3 linked regions of the Mus musculus genome follow. The protein of the gene in region 1 interacts with the protein of each later gene in a biochemical or structural test. Links are inferred from orthologs where the notes say so. Each region holds a gene or a part of one and is shown on either strand. Other genes may lie near its edges.

Region 1 (5,785 bases):
AACGCCACCTCCTGCTGGGCTCGGACAATGGCATCATCCGCCTCCTGGCATAGGGCCAGCCAGGAGTTGGCTGAGGGCAGGGCGAGATGACATCTCTCAGGGCCCGCTCCTCATTCTTGATCTCGAAGCCGATTCTTCTAGGCAAGCCCCAGGCTCTGGCTACCCACATGGCCTGCTGTCTGGGATTGCACAGCTCCTGAATCTCCAAAGCCTTGAAGTGGCTTCATGAAACTCGGGAGATACTGTTCCTAACCAGCAAGAATTGGGGCAAGGAAAGCACTGTGATCCCCATTGCTCCCCAGTTCTGCCTTCTGGATTCACATGGGGACAGGGCAGCTCCAGGAAATGAAAGGAGTTGGGCCTTTGCTCAGCCAGCTTCCTCTAGCCACGCTCTCCTTAGCTCTGTTTCTCCCTTGGGTAGGAAACTGCTCCTGTCTAGGGTTCTGATGGTACTGGGACTCCAGGCTCAGGAGGGCTGGCCAGGACCTACGACTTTCAGGGCTTGGTCTGGGGTTTTAGCATTCATTCAGCCAGGTCTTCAGTATGGGACCAGAAAAAAGGGGATGTGAGAACAGGGCTAGGGAAGGGGTTATATGGGCCCAGCTGGTCCAGGAATGAATCCATGCCTTGCCTTGGTACCCCTAACCACAGCGTTTGTGCCTTCAGCCGGGGAGGCAGCCCTTGGGACCAGCATCCCTAGGGACAGGAGGCAGCGGGAATCATCTCTGTATCTCGGGTTCTGCCCAGGGGATGGGCAGACTCTGCCATCTCTTGAGTGTTCGTTTGGAGAAGCCTGAGATGTGGCCCCTGCTGCCTTCTCACTAGTTGCAGTCTATGTAAATAAGGTCAATAAATTCTTTGGAAGAGCCACGGAGCTGAGTGAGGCTGTGTTGTGTTTTGCTTTGCCTAGGCTGGGCTCAGGCAGCTCTGCCTCAGCCTCCCAAGGAGCTGGGGAACTGGTATATGTCACTGTATATGTCACTGTGCCTGGCTTATGGCTTGGCTTGGCTTTTTTTCAGATGGTCTCAAGTGCCTCAGGTTGGCCTTGATCTTGGGATGACCTTCCTGCTTGAAACAGAGTAGTGGGCTTATAGGCATGACCCACCAGGTCCAATTTTTATTTTTTAAAGGCATTGATTTTTATACGTGTATGGTTGTTTTGCCCACTTGTACATATGCACACCATACTTGTGTCTGGTCCCTGCGGAGGTCAGAAGAGGGCATCGGGATCACCTGGAACCGAAGTTAATGAATGGTTATGAGCCACATCTCGATGCTGAAGATTGAACCTGGATCCTTTGCAAGAGCAGCCAGTGTTCTTACCCACTGAGCCATCTCTAAGCCCCACACCCAGCTTCTTTTGATACAAGGTCTGGTAGCTCAAACTTGATATGCAGCCGAGGAGGTTGACCTGGTATTCCCTACCTACCCTCTTCTCTCTACCTTCCAAGTGCTGATATTATACATAGGCATGGATAGTCATGCCCACCAGTTTGCCTTGATGGCACCAGAGTCAGGAAAGTCCAAACCTGGTAGTTGCAAACACAGCAAGAGGGTAGAGGCAGCCATTGTCCTCTGGCTGCCTTGGATACAGAGCTTCTGGGTTGGGTGGCCTTGGGTCAGTTTTCCGAATGGTTCACCCTTGGGGAAAGGGAACACTGCTGAAGAGGTGGGACCCTGGGAGGGCCGGCCTCCAGCTGGGTCTCTCCAGCCCTCGCCTTGGAACCTAGGCTGGAGGGAGCCAACCAGGATCCTGGACTTGCTACAGTTAGGTGAACAGGCTCCTGCAGCCTCCCCTTCCCTTGGGTAGCTGTGGTGGTGGTGGTGGTGGTGGTGGTGGTGGTGGTGGTGGTGGTGGTGGTGGTGGTAGTGGTGGTGGTGGTGGTGGTGGTGGTGGTGGTGGTGGTGGTGGTGGTAGTGGTGGTGGTGGTGGTGGTGGTGGTGGTGGTGGTGGTGGGACTTTGGCTGTGACTCTGGAGCCCACTCTGCGCCCTTACACAGGCCACACAGCCTCTCTGAGCCTCACTGACTGTGGATAATCCCCTATGTTGAGGGATCATTAGAAGGCTTGCCAGGCCCAACCTCCTCACTTATCTGCTCCTGTAAACCCCTTCTCCAGGCTCAGGCAGGGTTCTGGGTAGCCTTGATGGGAAAGGGTCTTCTGGCCCCCATATCAATGTTTAACCGGATGTACAGGTCAATATTTACCAGCACTGAACACAAGCTGAACGGGGGTTGGCTGAGAGCAAAGGTCCTGTGGGAGGAGAGAGCTAGGCCCTGCTGGCTGCACTGGGGGAGCGTGGGGAGCAAGCTGGTCCAGGAGAACACCGTGTGCTGCGTGTGCTGCGCTAAGAAGCCTGAAGAGGTAGGATGGAGGGGTGGTGCAGCCTGCTGCTTGGGCAGCAGAGGAAGTAGACAGCTGGCACCTTGGCAAGGGGTCTGGATGAATTTATTCAGGGAGCCTGCAGCTTCACAGCGTCCTGGGGTGGTGAGGAGCAGAGGTCCAGGCAGCTCCAGGAGAAACCTCTAGAACTCCAAAACCTGGAGGCCTACTCTTGGCGAGAAAAATCATATATCCAGATTGGAGATGAGGCCCTGGCTGAAGGTTCTTGAACACAGTTGTGGAGGTCTAGGGATAACAGAAGGACCTTTTAGAAGAGCTGGTGCCTGAAATAAGGCCTGGGTAGGGGGCTGAGGATGGAAAGGAAGGCTCTCTAGGCTGAGAGCCTCCCCCCTTCCGCCAGCTGGGCTTCCCCGAAGCACCCTGGATCAGAACTTGGAGCAGAAGTGGGATGAGGCTTGTAGTTCCCGTAAGTCCAAAGGTGTCTGGGCCAGTCATTCATTGGTCAACAAAGAAGTTTCTGGCTGCCCTGCCAGCCCAGATTAGCTCTCAGAGCCTTTGGGTAGGACCAGGGCAGCCTGAGAAAGGCTGGATGAAATGAACAACAGGTCAGGTGGCTTTGCTAGGGTGGGGGCCAGGCATCATGCTCAGTATTTACAGAGATTCTTATTTGGGTCCTCAACATCTACATGGGAGCAGGAAGAACTTCTGCCATGAATTACCAAGACAGGGTAAAGCCAAAGGCATGAAGGGAGATGCGCAAGGTCCTCTTGCAAGATGAGGGCTTTAAATTTGAACCCAGGACTGATCCACAGTGTAAGACGAAAAGAATGAAGACTAAATGTACAGGTGAAAAAAAAAGCTTATGGAAATCCCACCTCTCAGAGTGAGTGAGGTCCACAGCTGCTATGTTTTGAGTCCAGGTTCCGCAGCCTGGTGCGGTCAAGGAACCCATGGATAGCAGTCTACTGCTTGGCCTTCGAGCGTGAGGTAGGAACTAACACTCCCTGTTCTGGATACAGGAACATGGCACTGCTCCGGGGGCTCCTCGTACTCAGCTTGTCCTGCCTGCAAGGTCCCTGTTTCACGGTGAGGCAGAGCTGAGGTCTGAGTGGGAAGTGGTCAGTCAGGCTGAAGGAGATGCTGGGGGGCGGGGGCAAATCTGGGAGAGGCCAGAAGGGTGGAGAGGGAGGAACGCTGAGTTCTCTGTTCTCCCTTTTCTCAACAGTTCTCTCCGGTGAGCGCCGTGGATCTCCCGGGCCAGCAGGTACTCAAAAGTGAGAGGTTTAGGGGGAAGAGCCAAAGGGACTCACCTATGTCTTGGCAAGATGGGGACCCATGGGAAGGGCCTTTTCTTCATCTCCTTTCTCATTTCTACAGCCAGTGAGTGAGCAGGCCCAGCAGAAGCTGCCCCTGCCTGCCCTCTTCAAGTTGGACAACCAGGTACAATCAGGTGGGGCTGGGGAAGAATGGGTGGGGCCAGAGGGAAGAGGAGGACCGGATCAGTGGAAGCAAGGGAATGGGGGTGGGGGAGTCAGTAGTTATGGGGCTGATGTTCAGGGGTTCGGAAGGGGTGGGGTAGGAAGGACTTCAGCATGACTCTCCTCAGATCTGGGACAAGGCCTTTGCTGCCCTGTCGCATCAGGACTGAGAGGGGGCTGGAGAGATGGCTCAGTGGTTAAGAGCACCGACTGCTCTTCCGAAGGTCCTGAGTTCAAATCCCAGCAACCACATGGTGGCTCACAACCATCCGTAACGAAATCTGATGCCCTCTTCTGGAGCTGTCTGAAGACAGCTACAGTGTACTTACATATAATAAATAAATAAATCTTAAAAAAAAAAAAAAAAAAAAAAAGGACCGTGAGGGACACAGAGAACCTAGAGCTGTTCCCTTGACCTCACTGACTTCTGATCTGTCCTTGTAGGATTTTGGTGACCATGCTACCCTCAAGAGGTCCCCAGGACACTGCAAGAGTGTCCCAACTGCAGAGGAGACTCGCAGGCTGGCTCAGGCCATGATGGCTTTTACTACTGACCTGTTCTCTTTGGTGGCCCAAACATCTACCAGCTCCAACCTTGTCCTGTCACCCCTTAGTGTGGCCCTAGCACTCTCTCACCTGGCACTAGGTACTGGGGTCACACCTGTCCAGAAGAACTAGGAGACCACAGAGGGTTCAGTTGCTGCAGAGGTTGTCCAGGGGCAGTTCCTCCATCAGGGACACATGGCTATTTGGTAGAATGCAGGTCCCTGAGCTGTCACCACCCTCTATGAGTCAGAAGTCCGGGGCTAAGAGTGTAGTGATTGACAAGTCCCCCTAGTTATTTTAGCACAGGAATTTAATGGCTACAATATCTTCCAGTGGACATGAGTGTCTCACTGTGGGAGACACTGCTGCTCAGAGAGGAAAGGAACCTTGAGGGAGGTGACACTGCCCAGCTTGTTAGCTGCAGAGATGAATCTGGGGACCCTATGGCTCCGTGGATCTGGGAGAGGAGCAGAGTAGTGTGATCTGTGGCCATGTTCATCATGGGGATGCCAGAGGGTGGGAGTGGGCAGTGGGGCCAGAAAGAACCCGTGGCCTGGGCATCAGCCTGCTTGGTCCCCTTCAGGTGCTCAGAACCAAACACTACACAGCTTGCATCGAGTGTTGCACATGAACACAGGATCCTGCCTCCCGCATCTACTGAGCCATTTCTACCAGAACCTAGGCCCAGGGACAATCCGACTGGCTGCCAGAATATACCTGCAGAAAGGTAGGTGCTGGTGGTAGCAAGCTGCACAGAAAGAGCCCTGCCTCTAGTGCACAAGGGTGAGGGAGAGGGGCTTGGCTTCGGGTAGCACACTGGTGGATGTGGAGGCCCTGGGATGAGCTTGTGGCTCATTGCGTGCAGGATTTCCCATCAAAGACGATTTCCTGGAGCAATCGGAAAGGCTCTTTGGTGCGAAGCCCGTGAAACTGACTGGAAAGCAGGAGGAAGACCTGGCGAACATCAACCAATGGGTGAAGGAGGCCACAGAGGGGAAGATTGAGGATTTCCTCTCTGAGCTGCCGGATAGCACCGTGCTGCTTCTCCTCAACGCCATCCACTTTCACGGTGCACTGTTCTTCTTAAGCCGCTCACCCCCGCAGCCCCGCCCACCCTGCCATTGCAAGCTTTGCTCTGAGGTTGCTAGGCCATGAAACTGGGGATTGTCTGATCACATGAAGGGGAAACTCAAGCTGCAGAGGCCAGGCTGCTTTGAGAGAAAACCGGGGCTACAGAGGGATGGAGAAATGCAAATCCAAGTGTAGGGAAGGTGCCTAAGACCAGCTAGATGTCAACCGGCCAGCGCCTCTGGGAGCGTGGCTTCTAATCCTTGTTCCTGGAATAGGTTCTAGGCAAGACAGGCAGGAGGCTGATTTTATGTTACATGGCTCCTGCCCTCTGCCTGGCTGCAGGTTT
Region 2 (5,449 bases), on another chromosome or scaffold:
TGTGGTTAAGTCTAATCTGACATGTAGCTTTGTTTGCCCTGTACCTCTCTCTCTCCATGTGACATGGGTGGTGTATAAAGTAGGTGCTCACTGTGTGGGAGGAAGGGAAACCAGTTAGTATGTGTCCGAGGGAGACAGGGAGACAGGGCAGATACTGAGTGCCCAGTTTGCTGGGTAAGGAGGGCACTGCTCCTCTTGGGATCCTAAGGATAGAGGAGTCCAGCATGGCTGGTGTTGGGCCCTGGCATCCTGCCCACCTGCTCAAGTCAGTTGGATTTCACCCAGCCCCGTGCCCCATGCCCCGTCCTGGAGATGGGACGTTGGTTTTGCAACAGCCTTGGCTGTGGCTCCTGGGAGAGACAGGAGGGGGAGCTTACCACAGAGTGGGGGCTGGGCCCCAGGTCCTGTTTCTATTATGGGAGAAGAGTACACCCCTTGTGTGGTTCCAGATTGTGCTGGTGGATCAACAAGCCAATTCCAGTATTTTAAAAGATTCATCCTTGTTCTTCTGTTACTCTAGAACCACTCCTGGTACCAACTTCTGTATTAGTCAGGGTTCTCTAGAGTCACAGAACTTATGGATAGTCTCTAGATAGTAAAGGAATTTATTGATGACTTACAGTCGGCAGCCCAATTCCCAACAATGGTTCAGTCGCAGCTGTGAATGGAAGTCCAAGGATCTAGCAGTTACTCAGTCTCACACAGCAACCACACTCAGGCAACTGCTGAGGACAGCACTTCCTTCTCATGGGTGCCAGGCTTGGATAAGGTCAGGCAGGACCGTGTGTCATGAGGAGCAAGCCATAAATTAGGGGCTGAGCTGGCTGCCATGTGCTGTCTAGTCCTGAACCCCAGGTTAAAAAGACCCACTGTCCTGGGAATAGATGTTCACACCCTTAGTCCCAGCACTGAGGAGGCAGAGGCAGGTGGATCTCTGTGAGTTCCAGGCAAGTCTGGCTACACACACACTCATGCACACATATATTCACACACACATGCACACACACAGAAACTCTTTTATAGGTATGTGTTGCTGTTATTACTATACCTGAGGTAAACTGAGGCAGAGAGATTGGCCTTCAGATATAAGTTGTAGATTAGGGCACCAAGTGGGCACGGAGGTGCTCACCATCATCCCAGCACTCACGAGGTGGAAGCAGGGGGATTAAGGGTTTGAGACTAGCCTGGGCTACGTGAGATTTTGTTTGTTTGTTTATATATTTATTTACTTATTTAATTTTGAGATAGGGTTTCTTTGTCTAGCCCTGGTTATCCTGGAACTAGATCTGTAGACCAGGCTGGCCTCAAACTCACAGAGCTCCACCTGCCTCTGCCTCTGCCTCGCTGGTACTGATTTTAAAGGTACATGCCACCACTACCTGGCCCTAAGTTTTTTTTGTTTTTTGTTTTTTTTTTGTTTTTTTGTTTTTGTTTTTCAAGACAGGGTTTCTCTGTATAGCCTTGGCCTGGAACTCACTTTGTAGACCAGGCTGGCCTCGAACTCAGAAATCTGCCTGCCTCTGCCTCCCGAGTGCTGGGATTAAAGGTGTGCGCTACCAAGCCCGGCTCTTTTTTTTTTTTTTTTTTTTTTTTTTTGAGATCCCATTTTTAAAAAAAAGAAAAGAAGGAGGCAGAGGCAGGTGGATTTCTGAGTTCGAGGCCAGCCTGATCTACAAAGTGAGTTTCAGGGCAGCCAGGGCTATACAGAGAAACCCTGTCTCGAAAAACCAAAAAGAAAAAAACCAAAAAAAAAAAAAAAAAGAAGATGGATGTCTGCTGAGTTTTCATTGGTATTCAGCAGCATGGATGATGCTGACATGGAGACCCTGAGGGGCACACATCTCTCCATGACACCCCCACTGTCGTGTCCCAGGGAGGAAGTAGGGCTGTGGCCAGGATGGGGCAATACAACGGCCTCTGGTTCCAGCTATAAGTATGGCTGTTAGGTAGGGATGTGGGGAGCCGCGAGAACACAGCCCACCATGGCCCTTGGCAGACTATCCAGCCGGACTCTGGCTGCCATGCTACTGGCATTGTTCCTGGGTGGTGAGTGCAAACAGACACATGTCCACCCTTCTGACCTCTGGTCCATCTCTTTCATCTACTTGCACATCTGCCAGGACCCCAGGAAAAGATGTGAAGGTTTATAATGGCAAAGCCACGATCAGGAAACTGGGTTTCTAAGGAAACTGGGGTTCTAAGCCTGAGGGTGGTTACTGTGAAGGCACTGGGTCTCAAGTCTAAGGGCAACCTGGGCTAGGTCCCTTGTCTTTTCTCTGCCTCAGTTTCCCTAGCCAGCCTTGTGAGTTCTCACTGAGGGCCCCAGCAGCTCAGGGCTCACTCTTCTTTGTGTGTTCTCAGGCCCAGCACTGGCCTCAGAGATTGTTGGTGGCCGGCCGGCCCGGCCCCATGCTTGGCCCTTCATGGCATCCCTGCAGAGGCGTGGAGGTCATTTCTGTGGTGCCACCCTCATTGCCAGGAACTTCGTCATGTCAGCAGCCCACTGTGTGAACGGCCTGTGAGTCCCCTTCCTTCCCCTCTTAGCCCTCAATGTCCATGCGGGTCAGACTGGGGTCAAGAGGTCAGGTGGGCATTCCCAATAATTCTCCTTCCCTCTCCATTGCCCTTAGAAATTTCCGGTCAGTGCAGGTAGTGCTGGGAGCCCATGACCTGCGGCGACAGGAGCGCACTCGACAGACCTTCTCTGTGCAGCGGATCTTCGAGAATGGCTTTGACCCATCACAACTGCTGAACGACATTGTGATTATCCAGGTGGGCCTGCCAGTTCAGGAACCTGAGCCTCGTGCAAAGGTCCCGAGGTCAGCTTAGGGAGAGTGCACTGCAGAACAGGCTGCAGGACAGGTACACACTGGGTCAACTGCAGTCATCACCCTCTGAGCCTGTTTCCAGCTCAGCACAGTGGAGAATTAACTATTCTGTGGGCTGAATGTTGAAGGCTTAAATGAGATAATATACAGAAAGCTCTGAGCAGTATTCAACCAACAAACTCTTATTTGTGCCTTTCCACACACTGACCCTGAAGCTTGGGGAACTCTTGGAAAATACTCACGTCTTCCTCTAGTTCTTAAATTTTTTCACCACTTGATGGTCAGGTACTAAGGAAAGTGGGGAGGGTTCTTATAAACTGTGCTCTGTGACTTCTTGGTGTTCTATGCCTCCCCCCCCCCCCCCCCCCCGTGTCTTCCACTGTAGCTCAATGGCTCCGCTACCATTAACGCCAACGTGCAGGTGGCCCAGCTGCCTGCCCAGGGCCAGGGCGTGGGTGACAGAACTCCATGTCTGGCCATGGGCTGGGGCAGGTTGGGCACAAACAGACCATCACCCAGTGTGCTACAAGAGCTCAATGTGACAGTGGTGACTAACATGTGCCGCCGTCGTGTGAACGTATGCACTCTGGTGCCACGTCGGCAGGCAGGCATCTGCTTCGTAAGTACCCTCTGCAGCAGCAGGGATAGTAGTCGGACCCCAGGGAGGACTTCCCAGTGCTGGAGCATGGGTAGGGGATGACTAGAGATCCAGCCTCTGACATGGACGCCTCCACAGGGGGACTCTGGCGGACCCTTGGTCTGTAACAACCTTGTCCAAGGCATTGACTCCTTCATCCGAGGAGGCTGTGGATCTGGATTGTACCCAGATGCCTTCGCCCCTGTGGCTGAGTTTGCAGATTGGATCAATTCCATTATCCGAAGCCATAATGACCACCTTCTTACCCATCCCAAAGACCGAGAGGGCAGGACCAACTAGGACCTGTCTGCACTCCCACCCCGCTCCCCTTGCTCCCTTGCTCCCCCCTCTACCAGAGACCTCTCCATTTTACTACAATAAAAGCAGCCTTTGTTTTGTACACTGGGTCTGATGTCTGCTGCTTCAGGATGTAGAACACAGCCAATGCCTCGTATACGGTTCACCTCCTGGAGACGCTGCAGCCAAGCTGGGGCAAAGGTGTGGCAGGAGTCACGTCCCCCACTTTGTACAAAAGAATGTCCGTCAGACAGGTCTTTTGGTTTCTGTTCCTAAATCCCATGTTCAGCTAGGTCTCAGCATTTAGGAGGTTGAAAAAGGAGGATTACCAAGAGTCTGAGGACAGCTTGGCCTACAGAGTGAGAAAAATAGAGGGTTGGAGAGATGCTTAGCAGTTAGGAGTGTCTGCTGCTCTCATAGGGGACCTGGACTCCCATATGGTGGCTCACTATTGCCTATAGGCCCAGTTCCAGGGGACTGGATGCCCTCCTTTGGACTCTGTGGGCACCAGGCACATATATACACCTTCTACACATAATTAAGAAAAGTGAGCTTTTCTGCGCTCTCGCTGGACCAGTGAGCAGGGACGGCCTCAGGATGCAGAACGACGCCGGCGAGTTTGTGGACCTGTCCGTGCCTCGGAAATGCTCCGCATGCAACCTCATCATTGCTGCCAAGGACCACGCGTCCATCCAGATGAACGTGGCCGAGGTTGATAGGACCACAGGCCGGTTTAATGGCCAGTTTAAAACTTACGGCATCTGCGGGGGGTCATTTGCAGGATGGGCGAGTCAGATGATTCTATTCTCTGATTGGCTAAGGCTGATAGAATTGTCTCAAAGAACTTTTGAGCAGAAGAAATCGGGAATTTGTTACAAATAAAAGTTTTAAGTACCTGTGGGGGGGGGGGAAGAAAAGTGAAGATAACCTGATAAATAAGCTAGGACTGGTGAAGTGGCTTACCAGGTGAGCATGCTAGCCATGAAGGTGAAGGAGACAATGGATTTCAGCGAGCCCTCTGCACACTTACCCACACAGTACATAAATAAAATAAATACAGCATATAGATAAATAATAAAAATAATAAATAATAAAATAGCCAAGCAGTGGTGATGCACACCTTTAATCCCAGCACTTGGGAGGCAGAGGCAGGCAGATCTCTGAGTTCGAGGCCAGCCTGGCCTACAAAGTGAGTTCCATGACAGCCAGGGCTACACAGAGAAACCCTGTCTCAAACAAACGTGATGATGATGATGGTGATGATATCCACTTTCCTGTTACATTGGAGTGGTAGACACCATAGCTCTGTCCCAGGTGCTCCCTAAATGGCTTCTTTTACCCACCCTACCTTTCCCCACCCTCTCCCACCCCTCCCAGGACAGGGCTCCAAGTCTGTGGAAGTTCGGAGTTGTTTACTGAAGTGTCCCAAGCTGCATGACCCTGGGTGGCTGCCAAATTTTGTTATAATTTATTAGGTTCCTGTTTTCACAATCTGGTTCTGCGCTAAAGGGCTTCTGATTCTGTTTTGTTTTGTTTGAGTCAACAGCCATGGTTTTCTTGGAACTCACTATGTGACCCAGGCTCTGCTCTTCTCAAACTTACAGAGCTGCTGCTGCTTCTTCTTCTTCTTCTTCTTCTTCTTCTTCTTCTTCTTCTTCTTCTTCTTCTTCTTCTTCTTCTTCTTCTT
Region 3 (5,690 bases), on another chromosome or scaffold:
TTTTTAAATTTCCATTTTAATTTAATTTTGATTTTTTAAAATTATTATTACTGTATGTATGTATTGTAAGTACAGGCACATATGTACCAATGCATGTACATTGAGGTCAGAGGACACCTTTGTGGTCCTCTTTCAACTCTATGTGGGCTCTAAAGATGGAACTCCAGTCCCTAGAGTTACAAAGACAAAGGCTTTTCATCACTGCAGCCCTCCTTTCTCTTGAGTCAGAGCCTCAAGTGGCCAGAGCTCCGCCTGAGACATTGGCACCCATGATACCTGCAGACAAAGTCTGTTTCCCCTTCACATTTGGCCAAACAGTCCGAGACACCTCCTGCTGCGAGCTGCTTCTTGGTGAGACTGAACAGTGAAGCCCCTTGTGTGCTTATGTAGCCATCCAGCGAGTCCCCTTGTCCTGCAACAAAAGTGGAAAACTGAGCAAGTCAGATAAGGACATCGCTCATTATCATGTGGTGCATGCGCGCGCGCGCGCATGTGTGTGTGTGTGTGTGTGTGTGTGTGTGTGTGTGTGTATGTGTGTGTGTGTGTGTGTATAAGCACATGCATGTGCATATTTCATGGCTTTTTAATTTATTTGCTTTTTACCAATCAAAGAACACTAGCTGTTATTGTGTGGCTGAATGCTTTATGGTAGGGGAAAAAGAAGGACTCCTTACTCAGATAAGCAGTCCCAGTAGTTTGCAATAGATTGAAAGTACAGCCAGACTGGCAGATTAGTAACTGAGGCCCATGCAGCCACCTCTCTATTACCATATAAGAGCAAAACTTTAGAGTAAATTACTCTGCTCGTATTGCTTGCCCTGTGATAAGGCAGTGAGGCCCCAGAGCAGCGACTTGATTTTCTTTTTTCATTTTATTTTTAAATTTATTTACATTTCAAGTATTACCCCCTTATCTGGTTTCCCCTCCTCCCAGAAACCCCTATCCCACTTCTTCCCTCCCCCCTTGCCCCCCCCCCGCTTCTATGAGAATGTTCCTCTACCCACCCACCACTCCTGCCTCCCCACCCTCAATTCCCCTACACTGGGGCATCTATCTAGCCGGCATAGGACCAAGGACCTCTCCACCCGTTGATGCCTGACAATGCTGTCCTCTGCTGCATATGCAGCTGGAGCCATGTGTATGCCTTGGTTGGTGGCTTAGTCCCTGGGAGCTCTGGGGGTCTGGTTGGTTGATGTTATTCATTTGATCTTCCAGGAGAGAACACGGCATGGGATACTGTTGATTGACTGTCAATGATATATGCTTTTCAATGACATATGACTTTTTTCTTGATGATGAAAGCATCTGGCATTTCAGAGAAAGTTATTAAAAAGTAGAGCCTGGAAGCTGGGCGTGGTGGCGAACACCTTTAATTCCAGCACTCGGGAGGCAGAGGCAGGCGGATTTCTGAACTCAAGGCCAGCCTGGTCTACAAAGTGAGTTCCAGGGCAACCAGGGCTATACAGAGAAACCCTGTCTCGAAAACAAAAAAAAAAACAAAAAAACAAAAAAAAAAAAACCAAAACAGTAGTGCCTGGTACAAATACTGGCTTCACTGTTGTTGTTGGTTGTTGTTGTTGTTGTTGTTGTTGTTGTTGTTGTTGTTGTTGTTGTTGTTGAGACAACATCTTTCTACCTGGTCTGGCACTCAAGCAATCTTCCTTCTTCAGCCTCCCTAGTGCAGAATTACATATGTGTGCTACCATGATTTGATTTTTGTGTGAGATGCAATCTGAGACAGAGTTGCTTGCTTTCCCTCTTGTCCCCATAGAATGTGGTCCCAGCTGCCAGGTGTCCCCTGGGCTAAGGTGCTAAAATGCTGGCTTAAGCTTGACAACTCTGTTCCAAGCCTGAACCCCTGCTACTACTCTTTTGTGTAAATAGTCATGATTTCCATAGCGGTGAGAGGACAAAGAGGTTAATGAACATAGAAAAGTCTTCATGGAATTAGGCAACATGGCAACCTTGACCTCTAGAGGGAAATCGAAGCCAGATCCAGCAAGTTAACAAGTGACCAGGATCGGAAGCAGGAACACTTGAGAAGGTAAACACAGACTCATCTTTGAAAGCCTACCCTCTCCCTCTCTGGTGACTCCATCCCTCCTCAATGCTCCAAACTGGAAAGCTGGGTAGAGAGTGTGGAGTTGGCTAATGCCCTTACACTGTCAGAGCGCTTGCTGTGGGCATAAGAGATTATGGAGAAATGGAACATTTTAGACTTCTGTTCCATTCCAATTCAAACGCCCACCTTGAGAAGACCCAAGCTTTGGGGAGCTGCGGAGCTGCGTGTGATTTGGAAGGCATACAGTCATCCTGCACAGCGTGTCTAGGCAGAGTTGGGCTAACCTGTGCTAAGAGTTCTCGGGGAGTGTGCCAAGGAAGGTCTCGGATGACGATGGAGAGGAGAGAGCCCTCCTGTTTGGACCATCAGCTTTGTGTCATGTTTATTGGTGGACAGCCGCTGAGATCCACCCAAGGAGCTGCCACTCCAAAGACATGTCCCCAAGAGGAACCGAATCTTTTCTTTTGTATTTGAATTTTTTCTCCAAATCTTTATCTCTTCTGTTTACCTCCAGGGCTCTTGTAGAAAATAAAGTTTAATATAGTATATTGATAAGGAGACTTGAAACAAATCTTTTAGTAGGAAAATTATTTCTTTGTAACAGACTAAATATAGATGGGTATTACCATCAAAGCAAAGAGGCTTTTTTCATTACTATGGTGTGTGTGTGTGTGTGTGTGTGTGTGTGTGTGTGTGTGTGTACTTGAGTGTGCAAAATTAAATCTCTGCTGAGCTTGATGGATGACACTTTTTATCCTAGCACTTGGGAAGCAGAAGTGGGCTTCTGAGAGTTAAAGGCTAGCCTGGTCTACATAGCAAGTTTCAGTCTGGTCAGGACTATATAATATGACTTTATCTCAAAAAAAAATCAATAGTTTGTTCACAGTTGTGGAAGAAGCGTTTTTATCCTCTCCCAGGCTATTTCTGTGCAATAGGAAATGAAAGTCAAGCCATTTCTGTAGATAATGACAAGTACTTTGACAAAGACCTTATGAAGGAATGCCCCTCAATTGGCAGAGATACATGTTGATCCTACTGCAGAGAATCTGGTTCGGAGTGACCCCTAAGCTTATAGTGTCCCCAGTGCTAGTTTCTACACACACACACACACACACACACACACACACACACACACACACACAATGTGTGTAGGAACCCTGACCTCTAAATAGGTATTTGTTTAATTACTGCAAATACATGACACTTTAAAATGGACCTATGTGACTCACGGAAGCATCAGAGGCAGATGTGTACCCATGCAAAGCCTTCCTTCAGCCAAACAGAAGATCCCAATGGAAACAGGATGGCTCAACAAAAGTTTCTAATCAGTCACACTGAAAACAAGGCAAAGAGGTAGACCATCTAAGCCCACTAACTACCACCACCAGGAACTGAACCCAGAACCTCAAATATGCTAGCCAAGTGCTCTACCACTGAGCCACATTGCCCTTTAGTCAGACCCCTCCAAAATCCCCCTTCAATTAGGTTTACAAAGCCACTGGTGGCTTGCTCTGCCTGTCCATCCCTACCCAAGCAGTATTCACAGGGAAACTGAATTTATATGTCGAACTCCTCAGTCTGACACTTTAAGCTGAAAGTCCCATAAGCCAATAGCTCATTTAAATGAATTGCCCAAAAAGACACAGCGAATCTATTTTTAATGGATGGCTAGAATTTTTAAAAAGCGGAACGAAACCTGTGCATCAAAATCTTACCTGGTTTCAGAAGCAAGAGAAACAGAAGGATTACTTCCTTATGGTCCATGTTGGGACTGGCCAACAGCACCTGGACAACTGTGTCCTAGTTCCTGGTGTTGACTTAAAGGGGAACAGAGGCATCCACAAGCAAGGTAGTCCAAATAGGTTAATTATTCTCTGGGGCCCCCACCACTGTATGCAGAAAGAGCAAACATTACCTCGAACAGGGAGCTTACAAAATGTTTGAGCAGAGCCTGTGGTAGATGCTGGAAGTGATGGCAGTGGCCTTCCCCATTGGACCCCTACACCCTGTTACACCTCTCCGTCCTCCCTCTTCCCTCTTACTTCCTCCCTCCTCCCTCCTCCCAAGCCACCATGTTGCCAGTCTCCTCTCATTTCTTTCTCTCTTCTTCCTTTGCTGAGTGCCTCCCATATGCCAGATTCTGCCAAGTGGTCCATACTCAGCCTCGTTTGACCTTACTGGCAATCGGCTGTACCCTGTTCCCATTTTCAGAAGAGGGGCCTGGGGTAACACATGATGTCTCAGTGTGTGTATTGCGTAAGCTGTATGAGCTTGTTTTTCATCCGTTATGTTGCGAGTAGCGGTTGGTTTTGGTTTGGTTTGGCTTTGGTGACCCCTCAGCTCTCTCCCAGCCCTGATGTTGACTAAGCAGTTTGACTAAGTCATATCATTTTTACAACACCGTCATATTCACGCCGCTTTCAAACTTAAGCAGTACATAACTTCTGTCCTGGTGTGTTTTAGCCCTTGACCCACCTGTATAGTGAGACTCGGCATTGCCGGGCAAGGGCCAAACCATGGAGAAGCACCACTAGCCTACTGTGCAGTGTTGAAATCCGTTTGTGAGTTGGAAAAAGAACTCAGTGGTAAGTGAAGCACTTACTGCTGCTCCAGAATTCAAGTTCCAGCACCCACATCAGACAGCTCACAGTCACTCATAACACCAGCTCCAGGAGATCTAATGTCCTCTTCTGGCCTTTGAGGACACACACACACACATGTGTGTGTGTATGTATGTACGTATGTGTATATATAAGTATATACATATGTATGTGTATATATAGATATATACATATGTATGTGTATGTAGGTATATATGTGTGTATACTTGTACATATACACATATAGGTATGTGTATGTGTATATATATGAATGTATATCTGCATTATATATATGTATGCATATGCATATATATGTATTTATGCATATATGTATATGTGTGTATATGTATTCATAATATATGTGTGTGTATATATACATATATATGTGTGTGTGTGTATATATATATATATATATATACCTTCCGCTTCCCAGTCCTTTCTTAATATCCCCTCCAGTGTGGATCTCTCCTCCATAAGAACTCGCAGTATCATGGTAATACCCTCAAAAGTGGAGGGATTCAGCTGAAAGACTATCTTTTTGTTTATTTGTTCTTGTTGCTTTGACATAGTCTCCTACTGTAGCCTGGGCTAGCCTGGAACTCACAGTGATCCTCCTGTCTCTGCTGTCTGAGTGCTAAGACTACATACAGGTGCATGTCTCTCTCTACCAATCATCTCAACTTTAATGGTAGAGTCTGAACTTTTTCTTGGCTGGAGGCTCAAATGCTTTAAAGCCTCCCATTTTATATTTGAAAATATTTAGAAATGGACTCCTCTCTGTTGGTGTGGGATAAAGACAAAGCAGCCGCTGTTCTTCCCTGGCTACAAACTCCTTCCCATGACAACTAGTTACAGGATCAGGTGCCAGGATGTCTCAGGTAGAAGCTTGTATAGAATCCCATGAGAATAAAGCCCATGCAGGAAAACCAGGAAGACAAGCAAGGAGAGGGAGGGGAGAGGTAGGCAGCATGTCACGGTGCTAGGCATCGCTCCTCCTTGAGGAAGCCAGGAGGTCTGTGAGACTCAGG

The links. The genes of interacting proteins can lie anywhere in the genome.
Region 2: of the proteins of Serpinf2 (region 1) and Elane, one has a biochemical effect on the other in vitro, tested with the Homo sapiens proteins (2 studies listed by BioGRID). The link is inferred for Mus musculus from reciprocal best matches to the Homo sapiens genes SERPINF2 and ELANE.
Region 3: the proteins of Serpinf2 (region 1) and Plg form a complex in vitro, tested with the Homo sapiens proteins (2 studies listed by BioGRID, with this or other methods). The link is inferred for Mus musculus from reciprocal best matches to the Homo sapiens genes SERPINF2 and PLG.

What each region holds. Positions count from the first base shown.
Region 1 is NC_000077.6:75,436,037-75,441,821, reverse strand, and holds the start of Serpinf2 (alpha-2-antiplasmin precursor), read left to right. Parts: upstream 1-2,320; 5' UTR 2,321-2,365; intron 2,366-2,431; exon of another isoform or gene 2,432-2,629; intron 2,630-3,363; 5' UTR 3,364-3,367; coding exon 3,368-3,430; intron 3,431-3,569; coding exon 3,570-3,608; intron 3,609-3,654; exon of another isoform or gene 3,655-3,721; coding exon 3,722-3,784; intron 3,785-4,266; coding exon 4,267-4,468; intron 4,469-4,951; coding exon 4,952-5,095; intron 5,096-5,233; coding exon 5,234-5,437; intron 5,438-5,781; coding exon 5,782-5,785. Other genes in the region: Wdr81 (WD repeat-containing protein 81), read left to right, coding at 1-53.
Region 2 is NC_000076.6:79,884,353-79,889,801, forward strand, and holds Elane (neutrophil elastase precursor), read left to right. Parts: upstream 1-1,959; 5' UTR 1,960-1,982; coding exon 1,983-2,046; intron 2,047-2,361; coding exon 2,362-2,518; intron 2,519-2,630; coding exon 2,631-2,772; intron 2,773-3,213; coding exon 3,214-3,447; intron 3,448-3,564; coding exon 3,565-3,765; 3' UTR 3,766-3,864; downstream 3,865-5,449. UniProt on the Homo sapiens protein: Serine protease that modifies the functions of natural killer cells, monocytes and granulocytes. Inhibits C5a-dependent neutrophil enzyme release and chemotaxis. Promotes cleavage of GSDMB, thereby inhibiting pyroptosis. Promotes blood coagulation.
Region 3 is NC_000083.6:12,376,804-12,382,493, reverse strand, and holds the start of Plg (plasminogen precursor), read right to left. Parts: upstream 3,886-5,690; 5' UTR 3,827-3,885; coding exon 3,778-3,826; intron 413-3,777; coding exon 277-412; intron 1-276. UniProt on the Homo sapiens protein: Plasmin dissolves the fibrin of blood clots and acts as a proteolytic factor in a variety of other processes including embryonic development, tissue remodeling, tumor invasion, and inflammation. In ovulation, weakens the walls of the Graafian follicle.